4 linked regions of the Arabidopsis thaliana genome follow. The protein of the gene in region 4 interacts with the protein of the main gene of each other region in a pairwise test. Each region holds a gene or a part of one and is shown on either strand. Other genes may lie near its edges. The genes, in order: CLE44, MSBP1, AT3G45160 and AT1G01910.

Evidence for each region.
Region 1: the proteins of AT1G01910 (region 4) and CLE44 interact in a two-hybrid assay, tested with the Arabidopsis thaliana proteins (one large-scale study listed by BioGRID).
Region 2: the proteins of AT1G01910 (region 4) and MSBP1 interact in a two-hybrid assay, tested with the Arabidopsis thaliana proteins (one large-scale study listed by BioGRID).
Region 3: the proteins of AT1G01910 (region 4) and AT3G45160 interact in a two-hybrid assay, tested with the Arabidopsis thaliana proteins (one large-scale study listed by BioGRID).

Annotation. Positions count from the first base shown.
Region 1 is NC_003075.7:7,661,059-7,665,022, forward strand, and holds CLE44 (CLAVATA3/ESR-RELATED 44), read right to left. Parts: upstream 2,204-3,964; 5' UTR 1,945-2,203; coding exon 1,606-1,944; 3' UTR 734-1,605; downstream 1-733. Other genes in the region: AT4G13190 (Protein kinase superfamily protein), read right to left, coding at 1-48.
Region 2 is NC_003076.8:21,210,994-21,215,491, reverse strand, and holds MSBP1 (membrane steroid binding protein 1), read right to left. Parts: upstream 2,553-4,498; 5' UTR 2,372-2,552; coding exon 2,052-2,371; intron 1,278-2,051; coding exon 935-1,277; 3' UTR 881-934; coding exon of another isoform or gene 873-880; 3' UTR 650-872; downstream 1-649. Other genes in the region: MBD13 (methyl-CPG-binding domain protein 13), read left to right, coding at 3,858-3,941. UniProt on the Arabidopsis thaliana protein: MSBP1 can bind to multiple steroid compounds with different affinities. Negatively regulates cell elongation and brassinosteroid signaling. May act as a coreceptor with BAK1 and enhances its endocytosis.
Region 3 is NC_003074.8:16,532,801-16,536,399, forward strand, and holds AT3G45160 (Putative membrane lipoprotein), read right to left. Parts: upstream 1,466-3,599; 5' UTR 1,231-1,465; intron 1,148-1,230; 5' UTR 1,131-1,147; coding exon 855-1,130; 3' UTR 628-854; downstream 1-627.
Region 4 is NC_003070.9:312,482-318,116, forward strand, and holds AT1G01910 (P-loop containing nucleoside triphosphate hydrolases superfamily protein), read right to left. Parts: upstream 3,610-5,635; 5' UTR 3,351-3,609; coding exon 3,096-3,350; intron 2,535-3,095; coding exon 2,410-2,534; intron 2,322-2,409; coding exon 2,171-2,321; intron 2,071-2,170; coding exon 1,960-2,070; exon of another isoform or gene 1,745-1,959; coding exon 1,606-1,744; intron 1,515-1,605; coding exon 1,399-1,514; coding exon of another isoform or gene 1,391-1,398; intron 1,279-1,390; coding exon 1,114-1,278; 3' UTR 673-1,113; downstream 1-672. Other genes in the region: SBTI1.1 (subtilase family protein), read left to right, coding at 1-530; AT1G01920 (SET domain-containing protein), read left to right, coding at 3,723-3,776, 3,863-3,959, 4,058-4,232, 4,311-4,416, 4,527-4,609, 4,686-4,712, 4,813-4,975, 5,080-5,161 and 2 more. UniProt on the Arabidopsis thaliana protein: ATPase required for the post-translational delivery of tail-anchored (TA) proteins to the endoplasmic reticulum. Recognizes and selectively binds the transmembrane domain of TA proteins in the cytosol.

The sequences.
Region 1 (3,964 bases), on a different chromosome or scaffold from region 4:
ATTCTCCCTACTTTTGTTGTTTGTCGATGGACCCAAGAAACAACTCATTTCTAAAGAATCCAAAAACCTAAGCTAAAATTTAGTTTTGTAGGATCTCTCTTGTTAGTTTAAGAATAAATTTTGAAAATTTTCTTGATGGATTTCACAAGAACAACATAAAGTATGCCAGAGATCCTACAAACCCTGTTTTTATTTATTTATTTATCCAGACTTTAATAGTTGATTATGTTTTGTTGTTAAATTCAGATGTTTCTTAAGAAAGAAGACATGTTTGACGATGAAACAAGAACTAAAAAGACAACTTCATGATGAGATGTGAGCAGGCTGTTTTTTTTTTTTTTGGTTAGAAAACAACTTAGGGTTGAGGATATTAGTAGAACAGAGAATCTTTACTAACGTTTTCCAATAATAATTTACGATTCTTAATTATTACCAGATATCCTAATTAATGTTGACTTCTTCTTTTAGTATGTTTTTGTTATCTCTATTGTTTTTTGTTTAGCTTGTTTAAGTCTAATAGATCGCTAAAAGAAACGAATACCTAAAAATAATTCAATCAATTTTACCAAAATTGGGCTTCACTAGTTGTTCAGATCGCAAATGGGAATAATTTCGGGTTCAAACTTTTGATGTAAATTATATTCTACATCCTTGGTGCTTGAAAAGTAAAAATAGGGAATAATTTTTTTTATGAATTATTGTTTTAGTTTTTTTTTTTTTTTTTTACTTTTTTGTCATGAGATCATTTGTGTATAATATTCACATCGTAAGTCTAAACTATTTTTAATTTTAATGAAATAGTTTTTTTCTAGGTTAAAAAAAAGAAAGAGTAAAAATAGGTCAAATAGGTTAAAAATTTGTATGCACACCACTTAAACATCCACTTCACAGTTTTTTGACGTGAAACTCTAATAACCGATGACTTAACAAAAACCACCTTAAACCGAGATTAATAATCCATAGAATACAACTTAGTCTAAACATGTATTTATTTTGATATATAACTATTCAAACCATTTTTTACTCTTAAAATTGTATCGTTAAGTATAAAAGTGTCGTTAAAATGAAATAATGTATATTCCACATTCTTAAATTATTTACCGTAGATTTTAAATTTTCTTGTGTTCAACTATTTTTTTTTCTCTGAGAGTAACCCAATAGAATAAGCTCTAATATAATAAGCAGCCAATTGATTTTTGGCATATTATCATTCGTATGTCCCCATTTATATATATATATATATATATATATTTGGTTTAAAATTATAGATATATTATATATACATGCATCACTAAATATATAAAAGAAATAAAACAGAAATGTGAGGGAATTATATACAGATGGATACATACACATGTGAAAAGTATTTGTCTCTCCTTTTCTCATACAATGCTAACTTCCAAAACTTAGAAGACGAAGATCAAAAGATTTCAATAAACGAAGAAGGGAAATTCGTAAAGGAAACATAGATATATAATTAAGAATCCATGACAATTCTCTCCATCCATTACAAAATTCAATATTAATAATATACATTAACTCATCTCCAAACACCCCAAATATTTAATTAATTAAATTACCTTACCCAAAAAACCGGTTGCTCACCTAGTTGGAGATAGGGTTTGGACCACTTGGAACCTCATGAGCTTCAGCTCTGAACTCTCTCCTCCTCTTCCTCGCCGAAGAAGAAGAAGTGCCACTGCGTCTAGGGTGAGCTGTTGGACGCATTTTCATAGTAGATGAAGATGGAGTGGAAGGTTGTAGAAGGAACCTCTTGGAAGGAGCCATAGTGTTCTTAGATGAGGATTCATGAAGGTGATGATTCATGGAACTTGTAGGGCCAATGAGAAATAAGAAAGCTAAGAAGATGATTGTGATGATCAAACGGATGACTTGATGGAAATGCAATGACTTGATGCTGGTTTGATCAATTGTAGTTGCCATGCAATTATAAAGAAGAAAAAAACACCCCCCAAAACTTCAAGCAGGGCTCAATATCCATGAACCAGCAGAGCTCTACCAAATAAAAAGGCAAAAGAGAAATCTAGTACGAATAAGAAAATGAAGGAGGAGCTTGATGAGCTAATTATGAGAGAGAGAGATATTCAAATTTCCACACACGCACTTTAATCTAATAATGGTATAATAAAGATGTTGTTGGAAAACATCGCATCAAAGATTGTTCAGCCTTTGAAGAAAAAAATGGGACACCTGCTTATAAAAAAAGTGTGGCAGATATTGCACGAGGTATCAAATTACTAAAGAGCCCTTTTATGTGAGCATCTTTGAAGAGTGTGAGACATATACATGGGACAGAGTAGGGCTTTGAATAAGATGCACTATCAGTTCAGGTTTTCTTTGGTTAGGTTACGGTTTTGCCCCCTATGAATGTTTCTAATTTTTTGGTAGGACTGCCACTGGAGAAGAGGAAAATATCGAGGAAAAGGCCAAAGCATGTAATGGTCAATTGGCTATGGCAAAGAATCTTGAAAGCTAAGGAGAAAAAAGCAAAAGAGACTAGGTGAAATAAAGAAGGTTTTCATGCTTTTTTCCTCCTTTTGATTTATTTCTCAAGACTTTTTGTAGCTTTACTTGCTTACCTAAGAAAATGTTATGTTGACTACGCTTCGCCGATTATAGATATTGCGTGTCTAAAATAATGTCCCATTAAAAACTAGTCAAGAGACTCGAAGATAGTGAGTACAATATTAAAAATTACAAACACATTGCAACTTTGCAAGATCAATTGTTATTGTTTTACTTTAGTTACATTATTCAATATTATCTTGTAGTAAAAGGTTTGTTTTTTGAAAGCATCATTGTCAATTAATGTTCCATTTTCGGTGGTATAATAATTAGACAACTTAAGTTTTTTTTTATAATAAGAGTGTATTTTTATGTACACAATTAAACCCCACGAGGGAGGAAGGTGGATTGAATCCATTACATGTGACCACCTCACTATATTACCAAAAATACTGTACACCATATTTCCTTTATGAAAACCCCGAGAGAAACCGTAATAGAGATAAAAGCAAACGACTATATATTTTCATAAAATATTTGCATGCTACTTAGATTTGATTGAATTCGTGAAGACCAAATTTTTGTCATATCAATTGCTATGACAGAACGAATAGCTAACATAGGTTTTTAATGAATAATATTAAAGGAAAAAGGAATCATATACTCATGATATCCCCTAGTACAAGCAATGGCTTTTTTTATTTAATATGGTTGAGGATATATCTTCACGTTATCACCTATGTCTATATTCTCATGTATGTGCTTATCAACCTATATACTCGACGATTAGGGAACCTAATTAAGATGAAAAAACAAAGAATATAAGGTGGTGGAAGCATTCAAGCATGCAGCTGCAATATCCAGTGATACCTTTAAATTTGTCTTTGCATGAACAAGAATATTAATAAATGAACTTATTATATTACTCGATTTTGGAATAGTATAGAGTGCATGATTGTTTCCATACGTTTACGTGTATTATATGGGTCCCAAAATTTTCTCGGTATCGTGCACCCGAGAACGATAGTACTTCGTGCTCATTATCGTCATTTTTTCATCTCTTTTCCTTTTAATTTTTCTTTTTTATATATCATTTCCTTTTTTGTTTAAGTTAAGTTTTTTTTTTCTGCCATTAATTGGCCCATTCCCCATCGATGACGTTCATGGTATATACGTAGTTCATAACAGAGTTTTTAAAAATTGATACATATAGCAAATAGCAATTTACCATTGTGGGATTGATATTTTATTGTCCCTGATGACAATAACTCATACCTGCTACTGCTAGTCTGTTACCTCTTGTCTCCCTTCAACCTTTTTCCAAACTTTCACGTACATAAATATTAATACCAAAATTATAGATTATGAAGGTCCATGATTTTCTATGATAACAGAGCCGTATATTTTGTATCGTTTTGTTTTTGTCGTGGAGTTTTTG
Region 2 (4,498 bases), on a different chromosome or scaffold from region 4:
AAGTTGTCAATTTTCTTTTAGCTTTGAACAGTCCATTGAGATAGTTACCGATGTACTTTGATGCTTGATCATAGGAGAAAGGCTTATGCATAGATTCCTAACTCTAAAAAGAGATCCTTCTATGTCGTTATGAAAACCGATCCAACCTATATTTGAAAACATATCGAGTCTCCTTCCATCAACTATCTATAAAATCTTCACATGTTTACCAAAAAAAATGAACTATTTTATAAAACATTAATTTGTGACTTCAAACTCCAGTTTTTGTAATAAAGACCGTTGTTCAAAGGTACTTGTCTTATGTTCTTGCAGCTGTGCAGTTTCTCAAATGTATCATTAAAAACCTTATCATTACGTGCCTTCCAATGTATCAAATAATCCATGGAAAGGTTAAATCTTTTGAAGAGCCAGGTTGTTCCAAGAAAAGAATATCCAAATTTGCAAATACCGACGACACCGAAATTTCCATAGTGCTGAGGAGATCGAGCGCACATATCTGCAATGCAAGGAACACTCAGAAGAACGTGGTCAACTGTCTTCTTTGCCCCAATTCTTAAACATCGAGGATCACAATTGAATACTCTATTTCCCAATTGATATGGATTTAGTGACCAACTTAAAAACTTCCTATAGTAGTAACCAAAAGGATGAAGAGAATTTACAAAAAAAGGATCAGGTTTAATGTTTTAGTTTCCAGATTAATCATGCAGATTCACAAACCACAAGTATGAACTCGACTACATTGTAATCATGCAATGCAACGCCTTCTGATATGCAGTTTATAAAACATTTTTTTCTTATCATTAATCAGCAATCTTTATTTTTTGGGAAAGTAAAACAAGATTATCATTGACACTTCAACATTAGAGATTCTACAATCCTTTTCATAAAACTGGTCTCTATGACAAATCAGAGCAAATCTTGGAAATGGGCTCTACTCCTCCTTCTTCAACACAGTCTCAGCAGGAGCATCATCACTCTTATCAACAACGGTCTTCCCAGGCGTTGTGGTTACATGAGCATCTTGCTCAACATTCTCTGTGGGTTCAGAGACAGATGCGGTTTCAGGTTCTGAACCAGCCACTTTGACAGTACCAACCTTAGCATACTTGCTCATGAACTTGTACTCCCAATCTTGAAGAGCATCTAGCTCAAAGGGACCAAGACCAGAGACATCCCAAGTCAAGTCTTTCTCCTCAAATGACATCTTTGCAAGAGCTCGGCTAGCGTCTTTCCCTGCAAACAAAGCATATGGTCCTCCTGGTCCGTAGAACATCCTACAAAACCAATAAATATCAAACCTTTCATCACAAACACAACATTTAATTTAAATACGCAAAAACCAGACTAGACTATCATAAGAAGATGATCAATTCATTATACTCAAAGATTAACAAAGAGTTTTCACTAAAGATCTCAACCACAAGCAGACATTAACAACAAGAACATATTACAACTTCCTTTGAATCCTGTTCTTGTATGAAGGAAGCAAAAGGGTAAATTAACACTATGCCACTCAAAAGCTCGATTACATAGAAAAGCACAACTTTTGTGAAATTGATTCTCAAAGTGAACAACTTTATGGATATCACAGCTTCATAGATAAAACTATGCAAAGTCCAAGTTGTTATAGAGTAAAACGAGATTTGAGGAAGACAATAAAAATCCAACCTTTCATTACAAACACAACACTTGAGACACTAAAACCAGTCTAAGAGATTGATTATACTCGAAGATAGAGCTAAGATATTTCACAACATGATCTCAATCACTAGCAAACATCAACAACAAAAACATATTCCTTTGAATCTTTCTCTTGTATAAAAGTAACAAAAAGGATCAACTTTTCCAATGTGCTTTTCTGAAATTGATTCTCAAAACAAAACTCCTTTGTGAAATTGATTCTCAAAGTGAACAACTTTACGATTCTCACAGCTTTATAGATCATAAAAGTATGCAAAGTCCAAGTCTTTATACGCTAAAACAAGATTAGAGGAAACAATGAATCAAACCCATAACCTAATTTCGCTTTTTAGATTCAGAAATTTCACCTGCTTTGTGTAACATCATAGATCTGATGTTTGATAGCCATAAGAAGGGGCTTTTGAGGATCAGAGCCATCGTACTGTTTAAGCTCCTCCTCCGTGATCTCACCGACTTGAACAGGCTGAGGAATCGGTGGCTCCTCCTCTTGAGCCAAGGATCTAGCTCTCTGATGTCGGTTAACATCATCGAACGGCGAGGCAAACCAGCCTGAGATGACTTGGTAAATGGCGAAGGCGAGAGCTAGAGCAGTGAAGAAGACAACAGGAGAAAGACCTGTGTAAGCATGGATTGCTTCTTTGAGAGTTTGCCATAGTTCTAACGCCATGGCTTTGAAGAGAGGATTCTCAAGATCAGTAGTGTGTTGAAAAGGCTTGTCTTTGTAAAAGTCAGGCTTTTGTGCTAGATAGAGAGTTGTTGGGTTTTGACTCTTGTTGTTGTACTACTTCCTTGGTTGATTGATTTTTTTCTTTCTTGGGTTTAAAAGTTAAATACAGCTAAAACGACCGAATAAGATTTTTTATATAGTTATTAGGGAACTAATCTTTATTTTTACCATACAATTTTTAAATAAAAAGTTATTTTCTTCTATAAGTAAAATACAAATGATAATGTAGTACATGGGATTGTGTTAGTGTTTTTGATATGTCAAAATTCGGGTTTCAAGTCTCTGCCGTAAAATAGATAGATTTTCGACGAAATAGAAAAGACATCAAGCTTAGATATGTAAATGGCTAGAATATAGTTAAGAAAAAAGCAGTAGAGTATTTTCTGAAAATCTTTGATGTTCAATTCAGTTATTTTCATCATGAAATTTGATAAAAAAAACTAAAAAGAATCATAACCTCGAAAAGAAAAATAAGTTTTAAGAAAAATAAGTTTCGTGGATGCAGAATTTAAAAAGAAAAAATCAACCACTTTTCAGATTTTAAAACACATTTTATAACATTGATATAACCTTCAATCCAAATAATTTATTAATACATAAACTTTTTTAAAAATCAAAGTTTCAATAATTAAATCACTAGAAATAGAATAAAATCATACTTCTAAATCTTTTAAACATGATATACAAATACCAAATTTAATAACATAAATTTAAACAAAAAGTAATTAAAACTATATATTAAGTAAAAATAAATTATATTTAATTCAGATTTATGAAAATTCATAATTGACTATATTAGTATTTTTCACTTTTCTTCTCATGATAAATCTTCCAATCCTAACATTTACAATAATAACATTTTTTTTTTCTTTTGGGTCAAAAAATGATAACAAAGTCTTAAATGTTTCCCAAAAAATATCATCATAAATAGATTTGCAATTAGATTTTATAACCAAATCAAGCAAATGTTTTTTAATATACAGTGTAAGTTTTTTTAAAATTGGGACAATAACAATGGAAGTAAACAACAAACAGTACAAGAGAATAAAATGGAGAAAATGAGCTAAATTGCAATCAGAGAAGAGAAGCGTTGGGCCAGAAGACTCGCGTGCTGGTGGACTGAGTTTTCTTGAACCTCTCAAATCGGGGAATCTCCATTGAAACTCCTCCACACTACACGTGTAAACCCTTTCTTCTTCTTCCCCATTAAATCCTACTATTTTTCTTATTTACCTTAGTGGAGACAGAACCAAATCACACAATCAGACAAAATAAAAAGGTTCCTTCTTTATAACTTCCGACGGTGTCCATTATCTGAATCCGACAATTCTTGATGGGTTTTGGCGTTTTGAGTTGATAAACCATTCTGAGTTGTGAATCAGGGATACAAGAGAGAGAGGAAAGTGGTTTTACGGTGACCGGAGAGATGAACGGAGAAGGGATCTCTGATGGTTTGTCGGCTGAGAGGAAAGTGGAAATTAGAGTGAGGAAGAATGGGAGAAAGGATAAGGTGATTTATGAGTTTTAAACCCTTTTCTTAATTTTGATTGTCTTTTGCATGTTTGGTTCTTGTTAGCTCCTTTTGTGGAAATTGTAGTTATCTTTATTGAAGTGCCAAATACTTTGATTCACTCTTAGTTTCTGATTGTATGATTTTGTAATGATGGAAAAAGGTGAAGTCTTTTGTGACGTTTGAGTGATTTTCTCTTGCATGCAATGCTTAGCTTTTAGGGAAAGATGACATGTGATCAAAAGAGAAGAGGTCTAGTTGATTAAGTGTCTGAAAATGGTCTTGACCTGACTTTTTGTTTTGTTATAGATGATGTAGTTTGATCAAAGCTTTGTTATGTAGCTACATTTTGAACTCAATTGATTTTACTTGGTTCCACTGTGGCTTAGAAAGCTCTTATTACTTGTGTGCATGATTGGAGATGTTTATTTTTTTTAAGTTTTTCTTGAATTTTTAAAAGTTTGTCTCTTAGTTTACTTCGTGTGAAAAGGAATTATATGGTTACTTTACTGAGATGGTTAGACATTAAGAGTAATAGATCTTGTGAAAATGAATTT
Region 3 (3,599 bases), on a different chromosome or scaffold from region 4:
CTTTTAGCAACATATATTAATACTTTAGTTTTCTGTTTTTTTGTTGGACATGGGTTCCGCCCCATTCCAAAAAGCCCGGCCCAAATATAGTTAGGCCCATAAGAAAGAGACTTGCGTTTGGTCCGTTACACAAGCTCAGCCCATTAAGTATCGTCAATTTGCTGGGAGCAGAAAAGAAAAATCATCCCGAGTTCATGACCGCATATATCTTCCCTATAAAAGCGGAAAAACACTGTCGAGAAAGGATCCCGAATTTCACGCTGACACATATGTAGAGAGTACATGTAATCTCCTTCGTACAAGTTTCCCCATTGAGTTCCTAGGAAGCCTTTTTTTAATCGTTAGTACGTACGAACATCTTTCGAACCAAACGCCTTGTCCGTCATTCTTGCACCTTTATTCAAACGAGTTGGATACATTGTCTTCTCGGATTGTCCTTGTAAACTCGTACCTTCACCTTGTATAATCTTGTATTCGCCAAACCTAATTCGTCTTATAAGAGATTATCCGTCCTTCTCCTTAAACCTTTACATGAATTGTATGATTTGAGTATCAACAGTTTTTGTTTAGGGAACTACGGTTTCAGCTTCAAGCAACTCTGACGGTTCTAATGGTCATCGATGGCCAAAAAAGTGCAAGAAAGTATTTTTCAAAATAGAATTACTCAGTTATACATAGGGAACAAAAAAAAGATAATACAATAATCGAACATAATTAGACATTCTTAATAAAGCATTAAGAGGTTCAGATTTATAGAAGGATTGCCTCATATTCATAGGTTTTATTTTTATAATTTTTTTTTTCTTTAACATCTATATATTCATATTGATATCGTTTTCGCGATTTCTTTTGAGTTATCCACCACCACCACCTCCTCCATTATTTTCGCCTCCAGGTCCATAGTTGTAGAAATCTTGTCTTGGGATATAATGGTGATTCTCCACGCTGCTTCTTGGGTGCTCTATTTTCTCAGTAGAGTCTTCTTCTTTCCCTATGATCATCTCTCGGGACACTTTTTCGCTTTCTTGATTAGTTTCCCGGGGAATTATATTCCTTGCAGCCAAACATGAGCTTATAATGACCATCATCACCATAATAACAACCACAACATGCTTAGAGTTTATCCCCATATTGGTTTTATTATGAGCTGCAAAAGAAAGAAAGAATAGTCTTTACATAAACAGAACCTTGAAGATCTTAGTATATTGACATGAAATGAGTATAACTTACCTTTGCAACTAATCGTAACAAGCGTTGATGGGTTTAGTTAAGTACCCTTAAAGGGAAAAAGATAAGAGTTTAAGACATTGATATTTATACATGCAGGAGAATAGGGTTTTTGTTATGGTGGGTTGACTATTTGAGATCATATTTTAAAATTATACGATTTAGGTACGATGTGACCCCCGGTGCCTAGTGGTGAGACAATCACAAGTGGGAGAGGCCTCTTATTGGAGAATTAAATTTTTTCTTAAGAAGGAAAGAATTGTGATGACAAAATGATGAAGTTGGTTGAAAAAGGGTTGTCTATTATTGGCACTACGAATAGGGAAAACCCACGTTACTTTATGGATTAGCATTGTATTAAGTGGTGCTTTTACAAAAGTGTAAAAGTAACTAGATTTTATCCCGCGGTATACAATTTATCTTTTTAAAGTTAGTATAATATTTTTTTTGCAAATTGTATCTATTTATAATATATTTTTATTTTATAGTTTACAATTGTTATTAAGTAACGTCCTGCCAAACCCGTCCCGCCAAATCCGTCCCGTAAAAAAACCATTTATTTATATTAATGTTGATCTTATTAAAGATATGTTTATAAATCATTGTCTAAATATTTTTGTCGATGCGGGACGTTGAACCCACACATTTTTTGCTAATTGGTTAATATATGTTCATTTTTAAAATTTTGAATCATAAAATATGACGGAAAAATTAAGATTTTTTTAAACTCTATATATTATATAATGATGTTAAAAAATTGTAATATATCAAACTTTTTATAAGTTTAAATATTAATAATGTTTTATAAATTTTAAATATATAAATAATAATATTTAAAAAAATAATATTTTTGTTTATAAGGTAATGACATAATAACTCTAAAAGCAAGGATTTAGAAGATTTAAATCTTTAATTAAATATTTTCATTAATAAATAATTAATGTCAGTGACATGACATTGTAAATAAATTCAAATACAAAATTTATTTATTTAAACAAAAAAACGTTTAGTAAGAATAATATTTATTTAACAAAAAACTTTATTTTAAAATATTGTTAACAAATATGTTTATGCTAATTTTAAGGGATTGATTTGAAGTTTGGTAGGATTAAATTTGATTCATAATATGATTGACAATTTAAATCAAAAATTTAAAGTAAAATTAATTATTTTGGAAAAAAGATTTAATGCTAATGGCATTAGATTGTAAATAAGTCCAAGTGCAGGATTTATTTGCTAAAATGGCTGCAAAAATGTATATATAGATTAAAACTTTTCTAAAACACCTGAGTGATTACTATTCGTGCATAGGATACTTTTCGAATTGATTTTTTGAGATTTGCTCGGACTAATAGGTCGTCAAAGGAGGCATTATTTCCCATATTCCACCTCCCAAAGAACATATTCTAGTACGACATTTGTTACCGATCATCGGAGGATTAAAATCCATTTGTTCTCTGGTTGATATAATCGCTACCCTAATTGGTTCACTAAATATCCAGCAAAACGACATTTTCACCAACACGAGTTGAAGATGTGTTTTTGTATACTAGAAATGTCTATGAAGACCAAGTGTCGTTAGCTAAATTGGTAAAAACCCTGGGCGAAACTTAGAGGTCGCTGGTTCGAGTGACGCTTGGGACAAAATTAATATTACATGTCGTGGTTTCGGGCCTAGGAGGATTACGGGTTTCGGCCCAAAACCTCTTAGTATTCGAAAAAGAAAAAAAAATTGTCTATGAAATGACTTTGAGTTTTGCCCCTAAGAGACACTATAATGCGGATCCAATGGGCGGGACTAACAATGTATTGGTCCTTTCGAGCGGTCGATAAATTTTAACGTCTTGATCATAGAGTAATTTTGGTGAGACTTGTCTACATGTTGCTTCTAGATTGGAAAGAGGAAAATCACTCACATAATTACGATGAAATAGATTAGATATTCGTTTTCAGAAGTTTACTTTGTTTTAGTGCAAAGAGAAAGTAAATGTTAGCACAGTGATCTTTCTTCCACTACAAAAAGTTGGAATCCAATTGATTCATTAATAATTAACCCTTGAAGGAATAAATTATAAAGTATAACAAATTAATAACAGATTCCTGGCTTTTGGTTAGTATCAATGGGTGGCAACTTACATTAATTTATATTAGTAGGACAGTAAATAATCCGACCATGCTGTAAACATTTCACCATTTGTCATCATTTCAGGGTTCTATTTAACTTTGTGAATAACAAAGTGGATTCAATTTATATGGTAGAATGAATCATCAACTTCATAATCCTCTTGCCACTTCGGATAAAATTATATACAATACAAATAAAATACAAAATCATCTGAAATAGAAGCATTTAGATATACATTAAAACACTT
Region 4 (5,635 bases):
GCGCCGCGGGAGCTGAATCGGCGGCCACAGCGTTTGCGTTTGGAGCGGGAAACGTGGATCCCACGCGAGCGGTAGATCCCGGGCTGGTATACGATACCTCCACCGTCGATTATCTCAACTACTTGTGCAGCTTGAACTACACGAGTGAGAGAATACTCTTGTTCTCCGGCACTAACTACACGTGTGCTAGTAACGCCGTCGTTTTGAGTCCCGGTGATTTGAACTATCCCTCGTTCGCGGTCAACCTCGTTAATGGCGCGAATTTGAAAACGGTGAGATATAAGAGGACTGTGACTAACGTTGGGTCACCGACTTGTGAGTATATGGTGCACGTTGAGGAACCAAAAGGTGTGAAGGTGAGAGTTGAACCAAAGGTGCTCAAGTTCCAGAAGGCCAGAGAGAGGTTGAGTTATACGGTGACGTATGATGCAGAAGCTTCGAGAAATTCGTCTTCGTCTTCCTTTGGAGTTTTGGTTTGGATATGTGACAAATACAACGTCAGAAGCCCAATCGCCGTGACGTGGGAATAAATTTCGCATCTATTGATTGCCATTTTCATATTTATTATATACCAAAGAAACTTATTGAACAAAAGCTTACCCTAAACTTGTAAGAATTTGTCAATAAATCAAAACATCTCTTATTTACTATAATTTTTTTACATGAATTTTCCTTCTCTGTTGCAAGACCAGTCTACAGTATATAAAAAGCTGTTACAAGAGATCATAGCATTCGCTTGTCACAGATACCCTTCAACTTAATATATAAAAAGCTGATTAAGTCGTAAAACAACGATTTCTTGGTAGATATGAGTCTATGTAGTCATGATTATTACAAATATAAAAACAAATCCAATGCATAACAATAAAACAACGCAAAAGAAGATTCTGCTTGATCTTCTTTCCTGTCCTATAAAGAGTTGTTGCTAGATGAAGAACTAGAGAGAAAAAGATTCAGTTTTAATTTTCCACCTATAAATTGTTCAAAACATAAACAACAATAAACCCAAATGACAACGCAGATCCAGAAGACCCCCATGTAGAAAGCAAGTGAGTTCCAAGAATATGGCGAGGAAAGAAACTTACAATTAAAGGGAAGAACAGAGCCTTATCTTTAGCCACTCTTGACCCGTTCGAGTTCTTCTTCAGCTGTTTTTAACTGCAAACGCAATGTGTGTACTTTCCTCTCCAGCTCCTCTACATTGCTCCTGCTAGTGGTAGGATGGTACGGCGTCAAGAACTTATGTGAAAACGCCTTTAAGGCTTCAACCCCTGTCACCTGTGATCCAAACATCCACAACAAGTGTAAATCTCAGGATGTATATTATATAAGGCTTTAGTTTCATTTTCGTCTTGATCATGTTCCTTCTCATCTATATTGAATGTCATGCGTTCTTACCTCTTCCGGAAGCAGAGGAAGCTTTGTGATATTAAAGTCATCGTATAGCATATAAAACTGATCAAGATACTTCTGTTGCATCCGCATCCTTGCTCTGAGCAACTTGGACTCCACATCTACAGAAGACAAGTGTAGATAATTCGTCAAATTTGTATGTAAAACAAGTTCAAAACGAGAAGATAGACACGACAGCAAATAAATAGGCACCTTCGTCGTCGTATAGTACTTGGTTGATGATAATGTTATGCGTGTCAATCTCAAACTTGGCGAGTTCCTGAACAAGTCTCTCTGTTTCATAGAGAGACAAGAACTCGGGGATGCAGACACAAACGAACGTAGTCATATCCTACGTAATGGAGCCAAATGTGTCAATTTCTTATCTTAAAATGCAGAGTTTGTTAGATATGTATCAGAATTTTCACTAATGCAAATGAATGCTGTCAAACCGTATGCTACAGAACAATGTGAAGAATCTAAAACTAAACTTCACGAACAGAGTTAAGAAAACAGTCAATGAGTACTGAAAATAGCAAAGAACTTAAACAATTGAAAAAATGTTACCGGGTCTTTGAATTGCCGATTTACTTGCTCAATCACATCTTTCAAGCCCTCAAGTCTTCCCAGCAAAGCATCCTCTCCGAACTCATCCTCCATGCCAAACATACGGCTCATCTGCATTACCAATCAGTTCCATGAAAAATCAGCCAAAGAAGAAACCAAAGAGCAATATCTGTTGCCAAGCAAACTGAATTTGACAAGCTTAAAGACATGCCTGAGTCATCAAGCCACCAAATCTACTCTTCAATGACATCAACTTCGAAAGTCCCTTTTCTAGTGTGGCCGGAAACTGTAACAGGCGGAGAGTATGTCCAGTAGGAGCAGTGTCAAACACAATAGTAGCATAATCCATTGTTTGCACCAACCTAAGGAAACATAAACATATCAAAATTTGACTGTGATAATACATGGATAAAGGCAGATGATTACTAGAAGAACTAAATGGCTATTTACTTCAACATCTCAGCAAAACTCATAGCCTCATCGATTCCAGGAATCGCATTTGCCAAATCAGAGAATAAACCATCCATCCCGTCTGTACCAGCCATGTCATCAGTTTCAACGGTAGGATCTACCTCCTGAGAAAAGCAAACAAGATTCACTCACTATCAAGAGGGAAGGAGTGTGAATCGTAACCATTTGCTTATAGTATGTGTATATATATACATATACACACAGACACAACTAAGAGCTTCAAGCTTAGAAGAGTAGCCATAAAGTCATCATCAAGCCTGTCTATTAGAGGCGACCCAGAACCACAAAAAACAACTTTTTTTTTTTTTTTTGAATTTGGCATAACTAGCCATGAATTTTAACTACAATAGACAAAAATTCGATTTGATTTGGGGACATCAAATCTTCTTCACAATCCCCTTCCGTATCAAGAATACAAATTGGCGTCCAAATTCCAAACCTAATCCCCAAAATCAGAGTGGGCATATGATAAGAAAGGCACAAATCAACCGTATTTATGCAAGTACTAAATCTGACTTCAAAATCAAAATTGATCCATCAATCTGCGGTTTGAAATTCGTGAATCAGAGAACCCTAATTCCCAATGAGATTAAAATCCAGGAGCGAAACTACCAAATTCCCTCTAAAATCTAGCACGATCTAGAACAAAATCGGAGAAAGCTTACCATGGCAAAGAGATTAGAGAAACCTTGAACCAAAGTGGGAGATTTAGTGAAGCGTTGCTGAAAGGCATCACTAAGATTGTGAGCAGGATCGGTGGAGATGATGAGAACGGAGGATCGAACACTGGCGAGACAAATTGCGAGAATTGAACTGCATGTCGTCTTCCCAACACCTCCTTTACCTCCGACGAAAACCCATTTAAGAGACTCTTGGTCCAGAATGTTCTGTACTGTCGCCTCCGGCAAATCCGCCGCCATTGCTAATTCCTTGCTCGTCTCTCTTCCACTAGTCTCAATCTAAAGAGCTCCTTGTTAGATATTTGGCGTACGGAAGAGTTTAACTGCGGCGAGAGACTTTTAACGCCGCCCGGTTCAATATTTTGGTTCTCGGTTTTGGGATATCACAGCAGTCTTGGTTTGATTTTTTTGGTTATCGTTTTTCACTTGTTCAATTTTTCTTTTTTTGTTAAAAATTTAAATTTGGTGTGTTTAAGTTCATAAACGCTAAATAAGCCCATACAAAAGCCCACATAGATGAAGCCATTACGACAGCGTATTGTGAGTTACGATTGAAAACCCCTCTCTACTCGGTTAAACCCGTCGCCGGCATATTGATCTTCGCCGGAGGATATGGCGATTTCAGAAGAAGAAGCCAAACTCGAAAGGTTCCTAGATTGGCTTCAGGTTAGATCCGGATTAAGTGTTGTTTTTCAGTCCTGATCTGCTGCTCTATATCATGGCATTTTGTGTTTCGATCTAATTTCATTCAGGTGAATGGAGGTGAATTAAGAGGCTGCAACATCAAATATTCTGACTCCCTAAAAGGATTTGGCATATTCGCTTCCACCTCCACTCAAGCTTCCGATGGTATAGTATTGTTCTTACCATTTCTTGCTGGGTTTTTTTCCGGGGAATATGTATGGAAAGTTGATATTGAATTCTGATTCAGCTCTGGAAATTTTCAGAAGTTTTGCTTGTTGTTCCGCTTGATCTGGCCATTACCCCTATGAGAGTTCTTCAGGACCCTCTCCTGGGCCCTGAGTGTCAGAAAATGTTCGAACAAGGACAAGTTGATGACCGCTTTCTCATGATTCTGTTCCTCACTTTGGAGCGTCTTCGTATCAATTCTTCTTGGAAGCCGTAAGTTTTTTTTTTAATCTCTTAGCACACATTTACGTAAGCTTAAGGGTATTCATCTGTCTAGAAATGATATGATAGGTATCTTGATATGCTTCCTACTCGATTTGGCAATCCTCTTTGGTTTTCTGATGATGACATCCTTGAGCTAAAAGGGACTAACTTGTATCACGCAACCGAGTTACAGGTCTCAATCTTGATCATTTATTCCTGTCTTATCATATCGTCCTTAAAATAGCAACCACATTTTCTCTTTTCATTTATTAAACCCAATAACCATCGTGTATTCATTCTCAGAAGAAGAAGTTGCTCTCGCTTTACCATGACAAGGTGGAGGTCCTGGTGACAAAGCTTCTTATTTTGGATGGCGATTCCGAAAGGTTGACATATTTACACTACTTTTAGACCAAATTATTGTTCATTGATAATCATATTTTGTTTTCTCTCTTCGTGCAGCAAGGTCTCCTTTGAACACTTCCTCTGGTATGTTTGGTACTGGTGTTATTCCTTGTTAGTAGAACCAGACTTTTGTGTCTTGTAAAGGGCTGCTTAGTGATCTTGCGACTTTTTTCAATTATGCCAGGGCAAACTCTGTATTCTGGAGTCGCGCCTTGAATATTCCTCTTCCACATTCTTTCGTGTTTCCACAAAGCCAAGATGATACCGGGGAATGCACATCAACAAGTGAGTCCCCTGAAACGGCTCCAGTTAATTCTAATGAGGAAAAAGGCAAGTCATTAACGTCGGTCTGCTGAATTCTGTGTGAAATGCCTCTTTTTTAATTATTATTATTCTATCATGTAACGACAATTTCATGGGTTTCTTCATTTTCTGATGGGTAGAAATTCAGGCTCAACCTGCGCCATCTGTAGGATCCGGAGATACAATATGGGTTGAGGGGCTTGTTCCTGGCATTGACTTTTGCAACCATGGTATGCCAATCTTTGTTTCAAAAAGACTCTATTATCAGTTTCTCCGTTCCATAATGTTGATATGGTTAATGAGTATATCCCAGTGTGATGTGATATAATGACCTATGGTTATGGCAGTATAGATTTGAAGCCTGTGGCGACTTGGGAAGTTGATGGGATCGGATCAGTATCTAGGGTTCCTTTCTCCATGTACCTTCTCTCTGGTTGGCCAAATATTTGTTTGTGTTACCTCTCAGCTTTCTACAATTTTTCAATCAAACAATACAGAACATTCTTTTTCCTCTCTTCTTTTTGATCTGTATGCGGAAAACTAAGTGCTACAATTCTGTAAAGCAGTTGCTCAACGTCCTATCCCAAAGAAGGAGATCTCGATCAGTTATGGTAACAAAGGAAATGAGGTAAGATGTTTTGCAGCTATCTTGTACAACTATATAACTTGTCTCTTGGTAAAAAATCACATCTAGCCCTTTGTTT